Linked DNA regions of Arabidopsis thaliana. The protein of the gene in region 2 interacts with the protein of the main gene of each other region in a pairwise test. Each region holds a gene or a part of one and is shown on either strand. Other genes may lie near its edges.

Evidence for each region.
Region 1: the proteins of PHT4;1 (region 2) and AT5G03345 interact in a protein complementation assay, tested with the Arabidopsis thaliana proteins (one large-scale study listed by BioGRID).
Region 3: the proteins of PHT4;1 (region 2) and AT3G26370 interact in a protein complementation assay, tested with the Arabidopsis thaliana proteins (one large-scale study listed by BioGRID).
Region 4: the proteins of PHT4;1 (region 2) and TRX5 interact in a protein complementation assay, tested with the Arabidopsis thaliana proteins (one large-scale study listed by BioGRID).

What each region holds. Positions count from the first base shown.
Region 1 is NC_003076.8:812,468-816,142, reverse strand, and holds AT5G03345 (membrane magnesium transporter-like protein), read right to left. Parts: upstream 2,059-3,675; 5' UTR 1,948-2,058; coding exon 1,871-1,947; intron 1,774-1,870; coding exon of another isoform or gene 1,770-1,773; coding exon 1,721-1,769; intron 1,620-1,720; coding exon 1,428-1,619; 3' UTR 836-1,427; intron 753-835; coding exon of another isoform or gene 665-752; 3' UTR 524-664; downstream 1-523. Other genes in the region: AT5G03350 (Legume lectin family protein), read left to right, coding at 1-339; AtCDC48C (ATPase, AAA-type, CDC48 protein), read left to right, coding at 3,010-3,038, 3,185-3,347, 3,607-3,675. UniProt on the Arabidopsis thaliana protein: Mediates Mg(2+) transport.
Region 2 is NC_003071.7:12,672,565-12,677,626, forward strand, and holds PHT4;1 (phosphate transporter 4;1), read right to left. Parts: upstream 3,514-5,062; 5' UTR 3,440-3,513; coding exon 3,080-3,439; exon of another isoform or gene 3,005-3,079; coding exon 2,897-3,004; intron 2,765-2,896; coding exon 2,609-2,764; intron 2,520-2,608; coding exon 2,304-2,519; intron 2,216-2,303; coding exon 2,006-2,215; intron 1,920-2,005; coding exon 1,782-1,919; intron 1,704-1,781; coding exon of another isoform or gene 1,695-1,703; exon of another isoform or gene 1,685-1,694; coding exon 1,517-1,684; intron 1,428-1,516; coding exon 1,343-1,427; intron 1,219-1,342; coding exon 1,121-1,218; 3' UTR 737-1,120; downstream 1-736. Other genes in the region: JOSL (JOSEPHIN-like protein), read left to right, coding at 345-736; AT2G29654 (uncharacterized protein), read right to left, coding at 4,715-4,897. UniProt on the Arabidopsis thaliana protein: Specific for inorganic phosphate transport across the thylakoid membrane in a sodium dependent manner. Binds glutamate but cannot transport it. May act as an ascorbate transporter at the thylakoid membrane.
Region 3 is NC_003074.8:9,655,068-9,660,495, reverse strand, and holds AT3G26370 (O-fucosyltransferase family protein), read right to left. Parts: upstream 3,817-5,428; 5' UTR 3,611-3,816; coding exon 3,302-3,610; intron 3,127-3,301; coding exon 3,076-3,126; intron 2,984-3,075; coding exon 2,893-2,983; intron 2,723-2,892; coding exon 2,646-2,722; intron 2,522-2,645; coding exon 2,433-2,521; intron 2,340-2,432; coding exon 2,220-2,339; intron 2,045-2,219; coding exon 1,928-2,044; intron 1,832-1,927; coding exon 1,688-1,831; intron 1,600-1,687; coding exon 1,476-1,599; coding exon of another isoform or gene 1,413-1,475; exon of another isoform or gene 1,388-1,412; coding exon 1,196-1,387; intron 1,115-1,195; coding exon 755-1,114; 3' UTR 551-754; downstream 1-550. Other genes in the region: AT3G26380 (Melibiase family protein), read right to left, coding at 28-181, 277-356; AT3G26360 (Ribosomal protein S21 family protein), read left to right, coding at 4,123-4,418, 4,524-4,533. UniProt on the Arabidopsis thaliana protein: Glycosyltransferase involved in the biosynthesis of pectic type-II arabinogalactans.
Region 4 is NC_003070.9:17,074,391-17,078,353, reverse strand, and holds TRX5 (thioredoxin H-type 5), read left to right. Parts: upstream 1-1,936; 5' UTR 1,937-2,097; coding exon 2,098-2,184; intron 2,185-2,820; coding exon 2,821-3,090; 3' UTR 3,091-3,412; downstream 3,413-3,963. Other genes in the region: AT1G45150 (alpha-1,6-mannosyl-glycoprotein 2-beta-N-acetylglucosaminyltransferase), read left to right, coding at 122-295, 374-496, 575-739.

The DNA.
Region 1 (3,675 bases), on a different chromosome or scaffold from region 2:
ATTAATATCAACTCTGTTACTTCCGTTGTTGCTGAGAAAGCTGGTTATTGGGTTCAGACAGGAATTGGGAAAATGAAACACTGGTCGTTTAAAGAGTTCAAGCTGAGTAATGGAGAGAGGTACAAGGCTTGGATTGAGTATAGAAACTCCAAGGTTACAGTTACTCTCGCGCCAGAAACCGTTAAGAAACCTAAGAAGCCTTTGATCGTTGCCCATTTAGATCTCTCTAAGGTTTTTCTTCAAAATATGTACCCCGGTTTTTCTGGTGCCATGGGCCGTGGCGTTGAACGTCATGACATTTGGAGTTGGACCTTCCAGAACAGTGCCAAGAGAATCTAAACCGGTTCTGTTCGGTTATGCTTTTTCTAATGTATCAGAAAGTTGTAACCGGAATGAATAAAATAGCAAATTTTGTTGTTTTAATTGTTTGTATTTGACTATTTACACAGTATCCTATCCTGCTAGGACCTGTGCACTTGTTGTTATGTTGATTCTTCATTCTAAAAGATTCTAAGTAGAGACCTGACACACAGAAACATCACAAGACTCGTTTCAAGAATCAAAAATTGATGCAAAGCAGAGTAGTTACTTAGAGTAGAATTTCAATGGAAACATCTCATAACATTACACAGATCAGTGTTTGACTAAGCAGTGTGATAAAAATTCAAAACTTCATGTCGATCTGCGGTGGGAACAGTCTGCCACGGTGATTGAATATCATGAAATCCGAATTATCTGGTAAAAACACCGCCCTGCAAATTTTTTGAAAGAAACCAGTTAACAGGAGATATTCACTTTATCTAGCAAAAGCCAAACTCAAAACCAATTCAAGAACCTAATGTACAAAAAGGTAGGGGAGAGGCTGCGACATAGAAGGAACCAAAGTGGGTCTAAAGAGCCAATGAAACAAATATAAACTGATTGAATTAGCCAGGAGCAGAACTGGTTAAAGCTCTTGAAACCCATAATCGTAACTGGACCAAATATAAACTAGAAAATGTCCCTTTGAATGTCCTGCATTTTAGAAAACCTTAGCTGCACAAAGTATTAAAGAAACATCAATGTTTGACCTAGAACATCTCTAGACGACAGTTTCTTATCAATAAACATGAGTCTTTGGTGGTCATTCAATCATCGGGAAATATAATAACTACCAAATTTCCATGTTTCAGATTGATAAACACTGATGCACAACAGAGAGTTAAAGAGACATCAAAACTAGACCCTCGAAACATCTCTAGAGCACAAGTTCTTTGAATCAATTGATTAACAACACATCCGTAAACCTTCTCAGTCAAAAGAAAACATATTCACTAGAAACACCCATGATTAAACTGAATAATTGAACCAAATCTAGCCAGAAGATGCTTCTATAAGACCCGTAGTAACTCTACACCAAGTTCAACAAAGTACGAACAGAGAAAAATTCAATAGTAAAAACACTCACTAGATAACATGAATTCAGATTGATTAACACTGATGCAAAACAGAGAGTTCGAGAGAAACATGATCACAAACCTGTTTTCATCAGAATCCGGATGGATCGAGAGAAATTTACCAGGGAAAGTCAAAGCAGCCCACATACACAGAGCTAGTCCAATGATCAACTCCAGAATAACCTTAAATAAATCCAATCATGATTCATATAAAAGCATAATCATTGCTGATATAATTCAAACACAATTGAGGAAAAGAGAAACCGTTATCATTATATACTCACATTAATCGGTGGTCGAGAAAACTCTTCCTCCATAATCTTCAACAATCCTCTATCTGAAATAAACAAGAGAAACCCAAATCAAGATCCTATCTCGAAAATTAAAGTAGATCTGACTCAATTGGAACTGGAATTGGATTGGGAAGAGTAGACATACATTGGATTGTTGAATAAGCGGCATGAGAAAGAATAAGAACGCCGAAAACTCCAACTAAGAACCCCAAATTCATCTTTAGAAGTTCTCTTTTTTAATTTTCTTCTTCTCTAAGTTGATTCCCGATCTGGATTTTCTCGTCGAGTATTCTCCGTCGAGAATCGAACTAGAATAGAAGACGATCAGTGGAGTTTAAAACGGCATGTAGTTATAATATCGCAAATCTCAAAGTGAAAACGGCGCAACGTCTAATATCGAAGAGACTAACAACGGCGCGTAGTTCTAGATTGATGATATCCTAGATTCCTATTAATCTTTTGTAACCCAAACTTTTTTTTAAGTAACTAATATTTTTAATTAGATGAAAGTTCAGTTAGTTTGATAACTTTTTTACAACAATAAGGGTTTATCTTTTGGGAAAATAATTATTTTTTCGTATAATAAATAATTATGAATATTTATTTAGAATTTCATATTGATGATATATTCATATGCAAACAAAAATTTCTGCAATTATTGAATTGAATCGTATGTTGATAACTTCGTATAAAAAAAACGGAAATCTATTTTAGAACAAAGAAATCAAATGGTAAGATATTAAATTTCTATTTATAAAAAAGTAAGAAAAACATGTAGCTTGCTTTGGTACCGCTACCTAAGAACCTTCTATTCCTTTCTTGTGTTTGCTAAAACCAGAAAGTAAAACTGTTATCCTCACCTCTCTTTTACTTTTATTTTCAACTTTCCCCCATAACGTTTTTAATAAACATTTACGTACCCTCGCCACACTATTAAAATAAGTTTAAAATTACATCAAATTTTTTAATTCTTCATATAGGTAGATTTTTGTTTTGATTCTCGATAAATCATATAATAATATAAATTAATTGATATGATGTTAAGGGAACATGGGTGTATTTATCACAACACCTAGTTTTTGGAACTTTTCAAGATAAACTTAAAAGTTAAGGGTCGCTTATTTTTCCAACAAGAAGGAAATCACAGAGCGTATAAAATCCCGAGTTCAGCTCCCTTGAGATCCCATTCATCATCATCATCATCATCACCAATCGATCTCTCTAGAAACAAATTTCCCAACTTCCTTCTTAGAGCTCTCTTGTCAGTTTAAGCTATCATTATGTCAAACGAACCGGAATCCTCCGACTCGTAAGTACTTAGATCTTTGATTTTTGTTTTCCGATCATAAAGTTTCGATTTTTTTACTTGGGTTTTTCGATATTGAGAATAGGGTTTTTTAGTTTGATCTCATCTGAAAGCTGATTTTGTTTGTCTTCCTGGGGTATTTGTTTCAGGAAAACTAAGAAGGATTTCAGTACTGCGATTCTAGAGAGGAAGAAGTCTCCAAACCGACTTGTTGTCGATGAAGCTATTAACGATGACAACTCTGTTGTCTCTCTCCATCCTACTACCATGGAAAAACTCCAGCTTTTCCGAGGCGATACAATTCTCATCAAGGTTAGGTTTTGTTCCTTATGTCACTATGTTAGGGTGTTTTGAGTTTAGACTTGGTTTGGATCGTCTGTGTCTTGACTGTATATCACGAGCATGTTGTAAACATATTCAGTTATGTTTTTTACTTTGTCTGATCTTGTAAACATATTCAGTTAGGGTACAACTTTTTTGTCTGAAGTTTTTTTTTTTGAGTTTAGAATTGGTTTGGATTGTTCTTTTTATCTCTGTGATTACTTACTTGATTGGGGTTTTGGATTTTCAGGGTAAGAAGAGGAAGGACACTGTATGCATTGCCCTCGCTGATGAAACATGTGAGGAACCCAAGATCAGA
Region 2 (5,062 bases):
ACAGTCTTTTTCTTTTGCTCTATGGCTGCCTTTGCTTTCCAAATTTCGGCGTTTAAGTTTCTGATATCTTTAGATCTGTTAGTTATTACAATCCTTTTGACATAAAGTATCTAAAGTAAGTATGAAATTGAACCTACCTGCTTATATTTTATTTGTATATGTTTTGAATGTCTACAGTAATCATTGCTTTAAGTGTTAACATGTCATTATTGATACATTATTAAGAATCATGGCTTCTCTGGTCTCTACCTGAACTCTTATAGGCAACTTGTTCAGCATCAATCCCTATAAATATAATCCCTTACTCTCCTCAAGTTTGTTCTCACTCTCTCTTGATATGTCAGCTACAGGAACAAAACGGTTCAATGCAAACACTAGACCAGTAACTCCTGGTAAGCAATCCTCAGTCAAGGGACCATATTATAAGAATCCGGGATGCACAACAAGCTGTGGTTTGAGGCTACCGAGGAAAACGGAATGCACAGCAGCAAGACTGATCAAAGATCTCAGCTGTAAATTCGTTATGGGCTTACGTCTGGTGGTGATGAGGAAGAAGAAGAAGAAGAGATCTCCACCATTGAAGAAGGCTTCTTCTTCTGGGATATCTCAGCCTTCAGTCATCTCTGTCGTTAATGATAATAATCACAGATCAGCGGCAATAGAAGACTGCATACAATTCATAAACTCCTCTTCCTCCTTCACAAGATCAAATTCTACCTGTGGCAGTAAATCTTAAGTTTTAGTTATGACCTTAAGTTTCGAAAACTCTTTCTTGGTCACTTGTTTGCTACGCAATAGCATATTAGAGAATTGCGTGTAATATCTTTATGATACAAATATATATAGAGCTGAAGAGAGATTTTGAGTAATCTTGAGAAAGTGTGAGCTTTGTTTATTTACAAAAAATCATCTGTATATCTTTCATCTACAAAGTATTATTCATATGCGTTTGGCCTAAATCAACGAGCAGAAAGATCCTGAAGAATTTTCTGGCAAAAAAGGAATATTCCGGCTAGCTCTCAGACTGCAATGATACTTGTATAATCAGAGACTGGCGTGAGGTGAAGTTGCACCTGATGAGAGGTCTTGGAGCCGAACTATTTACTATTCTCGGAATGGATCAATCGATTATCTTCTCTCCGGTTGAAAATAGGTTCCAAATGACGGTCCCAACGAGGTAAAGACCGACCGAAATCGTGAAAACGTCATCCCAAGAACCTGAGGCATTTCATGTCATTGTTAATTCCATTGAGAAAACACAAAAAAAATGAAACTTAGAAGAGATTTTATAAAGATTAAGCAAAGCATTGTCAGAATTACGAAGTGTTTTGAGAGTACTGACCGTGTTGTAGTATGTGACCAGTCGCAGCTGTGCCAAGAACTCCGGCAAGTACTCCAGCAGTATTAGACAAACCAAGTAACACTCCCTGAGAAGACCAACAACATCAATGTGCTAATCCATTTTCTTTTGAGTAGCATGATTCATTAAGACTTGGGAGTAATTGACTAAACTTACAGAGTATCTTGGAGCGATGTCTTGATGGTTAGAGTATAGACCAGACTGTGAAAACGCATCAGTCCCCTGACTACAAGCCATGCACAAAACAGCCATTGTAGGAGAATCTATGTGTTTCAGCTGTGTTAGGAAGAACGCTGGTCCAAGAAACCCTATTGTTTGCATTATCTGAATTTCATCATAGAAACTGATTATCGAATGTATCACTTTTACTAGATTGCATCAAAACGGAACTGAAGAACAGAAGAAGTGATATACAAAGTACCTTGCGGACATTCGTGACAGAGAAACCTCGGCTGACAAGTGTATCGGCAATCCATCCACCGGCATTTGCAGATATTGCCATTGTCATCCATGGAAATACAGAGAGAAGTCCTGACTCCATAAGGTTGAACTTCAGCACCTGCCTCACAACCGTCCATATGATTAATGATAAGAAAACAAATAAAACATCAAGCCTCTTGATTAAAAGACAGTAATATAACGGACTTGATGGTAATAAGTTGGCATCCATGTTAAGAGAATGAATGTTCCCCAGTTGTGACAAAAGTGGCAACTGATGAGAGCCCAAACCGGTGGTTTCGACAATATCAGCCTCCACGGGATCGACTTCACTGGCTCTTTGCTAGCACAGTTGTCTGCAATTAGCTTTCTTTCTTCAGGGAGCAATGTTGGATCTTCTAATGGTGAACTCTCTGCCTATAACAAGTAACAACACACGTCAAATCGTCAATGGTAATGAGATATGGGATCTACAAATAGTTAAGAACAGTAGAAAAAGTCTGACCTTAGTTAGCCACAGAGTCAACCATACAGTTCCAAGAGACCCGAAAGAATAAAACACAGAAGGCCATCCAAATTGATGAATCAAGAAAGGCGAAAAGGCTAAACCGGTGACAGATCCAAGGTACATTCCGCTGTAAACAAGCGCGAGTGATCTGCTTCTCTCTTGCACAGGAACCCACTTCGACAATATATTATTCATAGCAGGCATTGCAACACCCTGGAGAACACAAATGAGAACTTACTTCTCCTTATCAACACACACAAATCCGAGACTGATATCTAACATCACTAAGAGTAATCACAAACCTCTCCAACTCCCATGAAAGCACGAACAACGAGCAAGTAAGGAAGACCGAGTTTAGCAGCTACAGGAGTGAGAATTGTAGCGATTGACCACCAAATAACACCGAATCCAAGAACCCTTTTCCCTCCTACAGTGTCTGCCCAAATTCCACCAGCTATCTATAATATCAACAAACCACTGATTCAACTACACTTTTGATTTAAATGTGAAAGCTAGTGAGACTCATTTAAAAAAACATTGATCATCTAAAAATAGAAACCCTAATTAAGGAATCAGGGAAAAAAGATTACCTGTGTAAGAAGGTAACCCCAGAAGAAAGAAGACTGAATCAGACCAACTGTTGCTGGATTCCAACCATACTCAGCTGACATCGGAAGTATAGCTATACTCATATTCACCTGTTAAAACATCATCTGTCCCAAATTGAATAACTCTTCCCAATCCATAAAAATCCAATCTTTTTTGCTACTTACTCTGTCCATATTGCAGAGAAGAAAAGCTGAGAAACAGAGTAACACAATCACCCACCGCTTCGGAAACTCTTCCCACCATGGGAGGACGATAGAGCTAGGCGAATCAGAAACGACGTCATTGTTTCCACTTACTTTATCTCCTTCTACGTAATACGAATTACTGCTTTCACTCTTGTCGGAGCTCCGAACTAATACCCGGAAAACACTGGACCTATTTCGCGGGTAGATCCATACCCGTAACGACTTTGGAGATGGTTTGAGATTACGGAGGCTGCGAGAAGAAGAGGTTTTTTCAGGTGGACGATTTGAAGTGTAGAGAGAGTGAATATTTGAAGAGCAAAGAAGAGCTCTCGCGTTCATGGCGGAGATAGATTTTTTCTTCTTCTTCTCTGTTTTTTTCTTCTTTGTTTTAAGAGAGAGGAATTGATTTTTTTTTAAGGTCGTGGCTGATGTGACGACATGTGGCGTTTAAGTATTGGTTGAGTGAGGATGTCATAATCTAACGGGAAGTAACGGTTAACAGAATAACTATTGGAGGTCCATTATTAACTATCAGTTTAACATAAAGCCCATATAAGGCCCAAATAATGTTAGCTTACGAGCATAAATTGCGAGATCTATCTTACTTCCCCAATGAAAAAAAAATCTCAAAGATTTGGAAGTAGACCTATGAATAGAATTACAATAATACGGCAATACCAATAACAATAGTTTATTGTCCGTAAGGATATGAGTATGACCAGTGATCTACTTTATGTGGAATAAAGGCAGGATCCAAAGGTGGAACCCAAACCACCCACTAATTGCGTTCACAAAGATGCGAAAGAATATTTAATCCAACAATTGATTAAGTATCCCATGCGAGAGAGTATTGATCATGATATTCAAAATTAAGTGTAAAATGTCAATTTGTATGAACGTATGGGATAATAATGTTGAGGACGAATAGACAGAGGTAAATGTCAATCAAATTTGGTAATGTTTGATGTATTCTTAGTCGATTACATTGATTACATTCTTACATATTTGTAAATTAGTGAAATGTATGAAATATATGTAGCTAGATAGAACAAAGAATCTATAAAACTTGTAACAAAATCACAATTAGAAGATTAACGTTTGCAGCTTTCTTATTTATTAATGGAGGAGGTCCAAGTTTAGGGGATGAGAATGATGTAAGATTGTGGTGCGGCAGATTTTACTCATCGAAGGTGTCCCTTCTGGTCTACCATAAGAATTTCCTAGCTTAGGCTTTTATGAATTATGACTGCCACTTTTATTTATTTTATTCTTCTTTTAAGTCATCATTATTGTTGTTGTATCGTTATTTCTTTGTTGCATGCGTTATCCATTTACCAACATCTACCACTGTGTCGTCAAGGTCTTCCAAAATCTAAACGAAACGTAAAATTTATGTACCAGTAATTCATCACTCCTAAAAAAACACTTGATGATTTTCACCAATTGATATAACGACGTAACGAGATCACTAAACTATACGGATCATGCATGTTGATCTATCGGCACGTAATATTGTAGGTGTAGACTATAACCTAGGTTATGGTATTCAATTCAAAGACGTCCAATTCAGAAATATGAGATGGTGTCATGTTACTATTAGATCCGTACCAGTCACTAAACAAGAAGGCAAGATTCATTTCTCAAGAGGTAGAAACGCAAACTTAGGCCGTAAAGACACAAGAATGCCAACTTCATGTGGATGGAGACAGGAAGAGCTTCGAAATGACCCACTTTCCAAAAGTACATGCTTCTCTCACGTGGCCCACTTCTCCAATTATCATTCACCATTTCAATCATTCATCACTAACTCTCCTTTCTCTATTATTTTATTTCTATATTTATTAGCTAAACGACATCTAAGCTATAACCAAATTACACTTTCTAGATTTGGTTATATGAGAAAAAATAATACGTTTTTTAGTTTGTACAATGTGATATTCTCTACCGACAATGTGATGAAAA
Region 3 (5,428 bases), on a different chromosome or scaffold from region 2:
CTAAAGGATAAAGAAACTCACAATTACCTGATAACCATGAGGAAGAAGACGCTTAGAAACAATTTCAGCACTCTGCAAGAACTCAGCTTCAGAGATAGTCCAACAAAAGGAATCGTACGAATTCCATCCTCTTGGAGGAAAGCTAGCATGTTGTTGCCTCGACCTTGCTTCAATCGATAAACTGAAAAAGACGAAACTTTTGTGATTGATCGATCACTCAAACACCACCCACTCAAAAACCAAAATCAAATTCAAAAACCCAGTGAAGCGGAGTACCTAAAAATGGATAGATTAAAGATGATGAAGAAGACAGTGGACCGGGTCGACCCGGTTTTCTCTACGGATAGTCCGGTCATAGAGATGAGAACTGATTACGATAGCTTCTGATTTTGTTTTCCTCTTTTGTTGTTGAGAACCTGAGAGTAAGAGAGAAGACAACACGCAATGGTTGTGTTAATGGCGGGTACTATTAGAGAGCGTGACAAAAAATTAAGAATTGGATTAGTAACCGTTGAGCTAATTTTCTTTTAATTAAAGTTTAGTGCATCAATTTGATCAAATTTAATATAAAAAAGAAACTTTTTTTTCATCACTAGGAACTTTACATAATATCAAAATGATTACAAAGATGGTAAATGAAGACTTCAAAGATTTGAAAGGTCAAAAAAGAAGAAGAAGAAGAAGAAAACTACGAATCTCTATAGTTTGTTGCTCCTCATCAGACAAAATCCAAGACCAAACAAAAGCATCATCATCAAGCTTTACACATGCATGGAGTGAGAGGATTTTCCCAAAGATCATAGTTAGGGAAAGTTTCTTCAGGTAAACCGGTTCGTGTTTGATGGGTTACAACTACATCTTCCACAAAAGTTGCCCATCCCATGTAAGGATCCCCAAATGATTTCGACATCAACCCTTTATCCGGTTTGATTGATTTCTGGCGATGCCCCATATATCTACGCGCTCCGATGATCAGTTTTGCAAAGTTTCCACCGTGTGTCATCACAAATACATCTGATTTCAAGCACACCAAGAAATCTAGAGCCGCAAGACTTGTAACGTGTTTTCTAAACGTTGTTAGTTCCTCTTTGCCTGCTAAATCCTCCTTTGTTACCTGATTCAAAGGACAGTTAATGTGAGAGACAAGTTTGTGCTGATTCATCAAAGAATTATAAGAGTCCGGTGTTGTGCTTACCAAATTTGGGAACATGTTTCTTAGTGGAGCCATACGGTTTTGACCGCCATAGACTTGACCAGATGCAACATAGATTTGTGTTTCTTTTGGATAGCCCATTGCACGTAGGATCACAGCAACTTCTCCTGGCTCAAGAGGGCATCGACCTTCTTTGCGCTTCTGCAAGGCGAGCTGCCAGAGATGGGAACCATTCTGCAATATATGTCAAGAAATTTCATTAAGGTAGCGGTTGAGGTTGTTTAGCCACCAAAAGAAGTTGACAACTGCTTATAAATGTCACCTTGAAACGCCGAGGCCATTCCTTTTGTCTGTATTCTGCCATTTTAACTTTCTCTTCCCTTGTCCCCACAAAATCACAGAACGATAGACCAACCATTCCTTTCTCGAATCTAAGATGAAGAGCCCTATACAAGAGACATGGGTATAGTTTTAAGTTGATATAATGCATATGGTCCTAAGTTATAACAAAGTCGAATCTCTGATATGGCATACATATATGGATTTGGATTTCCAGTGCGATTTCTCATTCTAGAAACAAGTGAATCAGCCATCTGCTCTATCTCTGGAAGAAATTTGAGAGCATGATAATTTACACGGCATCGTAATCTGTTGATTTCTTGAGGTACATTGTCATACCTGAAAAAATTTCCAGCATCACAAGAATAAATCATTCATTGTTTATAAGACGATTTCCAAAATCTGAGCACTAAACTATAGGAATATTGGTTATACCCAAGTCGATCGACAAAAGGCTTCAAGGCCATTATCTTCTTCTCCTTTATCCGAGGTAAAACATTGTCAATATAAAATTGGGCTGCTGCATATTTGGGAATGTTTTTGACTGTTCTTCTGCAGAAGATAAATAAATAACTTGGTCAACATCATATCTGATTAAAAAATACAGATCGATTTTTAAATCAGAGATATACACAAGGAGCACCCAGTGACGCCATAATTCCACAAGCTAACTTTTGAAATCGTCCAACAAGTACATCATCAACAAATAATGAGTTGACAAGCAAACCTTATACTAGAGAATAGCTCTGCTTTGTCAGTGAACCAGTCAGGTATGTCTCGAACAATTCGGACATCATCCTTCAAGTAATCAATGAAATGATCTACATCAAAAATGTCTTCAAATTTTCTGCAAAAGAAAGTTAACAAGCTCAGTAAACCAAAAAGAAAATAGAGAAGTAATTCAAGATGAAATGAAATCAATATCTGAATATGATTTTACGTTGTGTCTTTCCATATTTGGTCCTGCTTCAGTACTGGTAGAATCAGTGTTGCATTCATAATCTTGGCAACAGCTACTGCGTTGCAGATCTGGAAACAAAAGGGCATGAATTCAAGATTGGACGATGGCAAGAAGAACAACAGCCATTTAGACATTGATCCATGATTGGATAATGGCGAGAAGAAAAAGAGATAAAAGTTGGAAGATACATACAGCAATTCGCTGCTGATTCAAACCACCTTCAGCATGAATGAATACATAGCCATTTGTTTCATTCTCAGGAGGAAGATCTGAAAAAAACAGTTGACACAATCTAATAAGCTAACCAAGGAAAAAGACTTGAACTTTCACGAAAAGACAGATCAATAACACATGACAATGTGTTTCGACGAAAAAAAAAAAATAAAAAAAAAAAATAACACATGACAATGAAAATGACAATGCTCTAGCCCTTCAATACCTGAGATTCCACCAATCCGCCGCTCAGCACAAGGCTTCCAAGAAGTTGTTGCAGATAAAGGATTCTCCCAAGGAGAAGGTGACTCTTTTACCTTACAAATGCAAACCAACACACAATTAAATTTACAGGATTCAAAGCTTATGCATTCAACAAAACACATAACCAAAGTTTTCAAACACTTACATGAGGACAGTTTAGCACAATCCCATCTTTTTTACATAAATAAGGAGCATTCTGCAGAAGATAGACATAGAAGCAATCTTAGTCTGAGAACAATGTCAATCCAAATCCACCTAAATAAACAAACCCCTTTACTCAAAACAAAGCTAAATACTTTTCCAAATCGATTCCACAGTTAGAACATAGAGCCTTGAAGATCTCAATTCCTAGATCGAAGGAAGAGACTTACCAAGTGATTAATAATCCCATAAACTGAGATCAAGCTAGCAATAGCGAGAATCAAAATCAATAGAAGCGAGATTTTATTCTTCTGAGGAGAAACCCTAGGATCATCACCGAAGAAAGGAAACAAAGAGTGAAACCAGATCGGACGGTCTCGATCTCTAGAAGGATGACGTGGGCGACCATCTTCGTCGTCTCCGCCGTTAGGAGAGTGATCGTGTACATGAGGCGATGAAGAATCCTCATCTCCGGCGGCACGTAACGGAGAAGAAGAAGATCGGCTACCGAGAGAGCTCGAGTGCCGTAACTCTGCCATTGCTCGCCTCGGACTAAAAGTCGCCAGCTTAATTTCTATATCCTCTCTTCCTTTTCTTCCTCTTCACTTTCTCTGTAGATAGATACAGTGCTTCTTCAGCTCTACTATGTGGACGCTGCCATTTGAGAGAGAGCTTGGAGATTCGAACACTCCACAGAGAGAGAGAGAAATTAAAGAAGCTTTTTTTTTTTGAAAGGCTTGAATGTTCTTCTTTAAAGTCAATACTCTCTGAATCAAACAGAAGATTAGATTTAAGGATATTTACAAAAACATCCCTATATCTCATAAAACTTACATAACCACCCCTATATTAGTAAATTCTCTGGTTTTTATCTCATTTCCTCCATCGCCTCTTTTTTAACCTAGACATTCTCCATCATCACTCAAATTGGCTCTTTGATTCTCTCCGGCGAGATTCCGACCGGTAAGTCGAATTCAGATCCTATCACTGTCTCTCGTCAATCTCATTTACGTTTTCAGAAACATACTTTTTCAGAAAACAAGTAAAAGAGATGAACACGATAGCGAAGCGAGTTACGGGGTTGGTGACTCGTCCGAGTCTAAACCAGCAGTTGCAGCAAGAGCGAGGGATAAGAGTGAAGGTGTTCTCCAATGATTTAGACAAGGCACTGACGATTTTGCAGAAGAAGATGCAATCGAGTGGAATGGAGAGGCTGATCAAAGGGACTCAGACTCATCACATTAAGAATTCGGAGAAGAAGGTTCTCGCTAGGAAGAATCTTGAACGCAGAATCAAATCCATTGACTTTGCTCGAAAACTCCAATCAATCCTCATCAAGAAAGTCAGGTAATGTTTTCTGATTTTTCTCAAAAGCTTCACATTTTTTAGGGTTTTAATGGTGTTGTTTAGTTTAGTAAGATCTTGCGTATTTCTTATTGTTATTCTTTGCAGAGGTTTATGAGAGCTGAGGTGAAGCAAGAGTGCTGCTATGTTGATCAGTACTAGTATCTGTGTGTGATATAACACAGTTTTACATTTTGAACTTTTGATGAGTTGAATCAATGTGGAATTGGAATTTTGGATTTGATTAGTTGTTTACTCTATGGCTTCTCTTTCGTAAGTTTTCAATGATCTTGAGAAAGAACATCAGATCTTAGGAGTACATGTATTGAAAGTTGTTTCAGGGCAAGTGCGTTGCTTCTCCTGCACTCTGTATGACTGTGTTCTGTGGGTCTCTGTGCTTGAATTGTGTTTCTTGTTCCGGCCATGATTACTCTGAGATTGTTCTGCTTTCTTCGCGTGTAAAGCGTAGGTTAGCTCTTTCCAGGCGTTTACACTTTCATTTTATGTATATTCATGTTACTATATACCATGCCATGCCAAAGAATGGGGATAAGAGATATAGGAAGAACAATTGCACCGAAGATCGTGGAAAATACCTTTTGTATGGGTTTAGTTTTCAGTTTGCTTCCAGCTTTTTTACTAGTATCTGTTTGGTCAGGCTCGATTGGTAGTTGTCTTTGTCAACGTTTGCAGTAACCGGCATTGCAGAGTTGGTTTCATGTTTGATGCTGCAGAAATTGAGCAGAGAACAGAGTATCTACCTGCAGAAGCAACGTGTTTCGCATCAGATTTGCGCTAACTAATCTGCGGCCTTCTTGATCTATGGGAGACATATCTTAACATGTTCATAGTTTACTGACATATTCGACAAGTTTTCGTAAGTTGCTCTGAGAATCAACATCTTTCCCCTGGAGTGAGCTGAAGTAGAAAGATTGACATATTCATGACTGTTACTGTAAGTCCTTAACCCTGTCTCTCCTAAAATCGAGATCTTTTTATTTGGGTTTTAGATA
Region 4 (3,963 bases), on a different chromosome or scaffold from region 2:
GTAGTTATGGAATGGTTAAATTTGATTCAAGGTCATCTTAATGATGTGCTCATTAGTGGTCCTGTATGTGTTAGCATTTTAGCAACAAGAATCATAAAGAGGACTTTTCTTGCTGGTGCAGGAATGGTGGACATACATATGCCTTGGACCTTCAGATCCTCACCCAAATTGGCATCTGGGGATGCGTGGTACACAGCAACGGGCAGTGATGTGGCGTGTGTGGAAAGAAGGTGGAACCGGGTTCTTGTACTGGGGTGCAAATTGCTATGAGAAGGCAACGGTTCCAAGCGCCGAGGTTATTTTCTTATCCTTAGTTCTGTTGTAAATGTTTCTTGATCGATTGCTTCATGATATTATATAACCAAATGAATAGGTAAAGTTTAGGCGCGGTCTTCCTCCTGGTGATGGAGTTCTTTACTACCCCGGTGAAGTTTTCTCATCTTCTTCAGAGCCAGTTGCTTCACTTAGGCTAGAGCGCCTTCTTAGTGGCTTACAGGTACGTCAACTTTATAGTTTTACCAATCAGATAACAACGAAAAACTGTTCCAGTTGGCTTATTTGGAGAATGAATCAGGATTATGAGTACTTGAAGCTGTATGAGTCAAAATACGGAAGAGAGGAAGCGATGGGGCTATTGGAGAAGACAGGGGTGTACACGGGGCCGGAGCGCTACACTTTGGAACATAGACCGATCGATGTATTGCGAGGAGAAGTGTACAACACATGTAGACCATCTTGAGTAACCAGATCGTTTAGTATCTATAAACACTCTCGGTTAGCCCTAAGTTAATAATAAAAGAACATAACAAGAAAACTCTAACAATGTCTAGATTACCAGTGAAAAAGGTTAATTAGTATGAAAATAATAAAATAGATAGATTTGCTTTGTACTTCTGATTCTTTAATTTGTTGGGAAATACTGTATCTGAAAAAGCTCATTTTATGTGGTGCTAGGTTGATATCATTCATCATAGTCACGTATGAATGGAAGGGCACAAGACATAATCATCCAACAAAAAAGGATATAAAACCTACACTGACTAAAAATTAGGAAAAAATGTTATTTAATCCCCAACTTTCAAAAAATGGCCATTTTATTCGTCAACTTCGTATGCGGTCGTTTAAAACATGAACTAAACGTTGACTAACTTTTAAAACATGATCATTCGTCGACCAGGCCAAAATAGACATGATGTTATCAGTTATTAACGGAACTTCTAACGTCTGTTATCATCTGTTAACGACTTTATTAGTCAAGTTTTAAATTGTGGTCATTTTAAACATCAACTTGGCCATTTAAAACATGAACTAAACGTTGACTACCATTTAAGATATGAACAATTCGTTGACCTGACCAAAATAGACATGTTTTTATCAGTAATTAATAGAACCTAGAAACCCGTTATTATCCGTTAGTGACTGTTAATCAGTCTAAAACGACGTCGTTTGAGAATAAAATTAGTGTCAAAGCGTAAACACACATACAGCCAGCTCTCGGTTCTATCATTAGTGAAAGAACATTACTAGAATTTGATTTATTAGAGGAATAAAGAAGATTGATCAAAAACAGCTTGCATTATTATTCAAAACATAAATCTAGCATATTATAGATAATATTTTTCTTATTGTCTTAGATAAAGTTTCCATTCAACTTTGCACGTCTAAAAGCTCGGAATAGTCCACAAATTATCACATAGAAAAAAACTTATATTCGTGCCGACAAAAACAAACGTTACTTTTTTATATCTGCAAGGACGAGAAAAGAACGGATAAACTCATATATCGTGCACACAAAACATGCGTGTCTTCTACATCTAGAACTGTCGTTACTCGTTACCATCATCACGCCGTTGACCTAGACTCATGCCTATTCTTTAATCGTTTAATATAAACCGTTGGATCCCTTCACACTCCTACGCGTCAAGATCGAACTCATTTTAGGAAAATAATTAAAAAAAAAGACCGAGAAGAGGTAGAGGTATAGGTGGTCAAGTCTTGCCTATAAAAGCTGATCCCAACAAGAATAATTCTTTCATTCACCAAAAAAAACTCATCAATCAAACAAAACTCTTAAAAGCTTAAGAACAAATAATAAAAATGGCCGGTGAAGGAGAAGTGATTGCTTGCCATACCCTCGAAGTTTGGAACGAGAAGGTCAAAGACGCCAATGAATCCAAGAAACTGGTACTTTTCTCTTCTTCTCCTCTCTAGGGTTTCTTCTTCTATTTGATTTGATTACTTTACTTAGGGTTTTCAGTTTTCTTGATCTAGTGGTAAACTGGTAATTCATGTTAGATACAAAACCTTGGTTTTTATCATGTTCATGTACCATGTCTTGATTTGGTCTGAAATTTGATAGAAACTGGTATTTTCTCGTCCTGTCTAGGGTTTTTTTTGTTTTTTAATTTGAGTTGGTTACGTTACTTAGGGTTTAGGGCTTTCTTGGTTAGTTAGCTTAATGGTGAATGATGTTCGAGAAACGGTTGCTTTTGATCCCGTTCTTGTCCCATATCTTGCTCTGGTGGTCCCAAATTGATAGAAGCTAGAACTTTCTCTTGTCCTGTCTAGGGTTTTGTTCAATTTGATTTGATTACTTTACTTAGGGATTACGGTTCGTCTTGATTAGCTACCTTAGTGGTGAATGATAATTGTATCCTGATATGGTCTGAAATTATAGAAACTTTACTTTCTCTTGTTATGTCCAGGGCTTTTTTTCAATTTGATTTGATTACGTTATGGTTTAGGGTTTTCTTGATTAGTTAGTTTAGTGGTGAATGATGTTTGTGTTCTGATTTGTTCTGAAATTTTGATTGAAACCAGATTGTGATAGACTTCACAGCATCATGGTGTCCACCTTGCCGTTTCATTGCACCAGTGTTTGCAGAGATGGCTAAGAAGTTCACTAATGTTGTCTTCTTCAAGATCGATGTTGATGAATTGCAAGCTGTTGCTCAGGAATTCAAAGTTGAGGCAATGCCTACTTTTGTTTTCATGAAAGAAGGCAACATCATTGATCGTGTTGTCGGTGCTGCGAAAGATGAGATCAATGAGAAGCTGATGAAGCATGGTGGTCTTGTAGCTTCTGCTTGATTGATTTCAGTTTCTAACTCTTTGCATCATAATAAAGTTTTTATCTTTCGTATGAAATAAAAGTGATGCATTGCTACTGCACATTTGTATTATAACTATGTTGATTTTTCGATTACTGGTTTGTTATCTCTTGGCTTCAACCACGAACACGAAAATAGCGACACACATTAAGACTGGTTTTAAACACGATAAGAGAGCGTAGGTTGAAAATATGTAGTTATGAACAGAGCAGTGATTAGTTCTCTGATTTCCACTATAAATGTGTGAAAATGTTATGTAATACTATGGAAAAATCACTTTCAACAGCTCATATTTCTCCATCTACGTCACGTCTATATCTCTTTAAGTTCCTTGAAGTTTTATCCAACGTTTCTCTGTTTTTATCCTTGAACAAGAACTGAAACAGAGAAAACAAGAGAAGATGAAGCTGACCTGTAGATTCAAACATTTCCCTATGCTCTTTAGATCCAAAGCCAGCCGCTCGTTCCCTCTAGGCGCGTCAGAGTAGGCCTGTCGATGGGACTAGCATAGACACATAGTGACTCTACTTGAACAAGCGTCAGACTGCATACAGCAGGTTAGAGCTGGTAGGACTTGGTTAGTGATCCACTACAAAAATAATCCATATCAATAGCACACGAGGATAGATCAGTTTTCCCTACTGCAATAAAAGATGAGTTCATAGTTCATATTAAAAATGAGTTCATAGATGCGGCACAGAGAGATGATTCGAGAACAAGTGAGGAGATAACGGATTTAACAATACGGTTGAAGGAGGCTTATATAGATGAAGAACAATATTGGTACCAGAAAAGTAGGAGTTTATGGATGAAGGTTGGGGATAATAACTCAAAATATTTCCATGCTCTAACA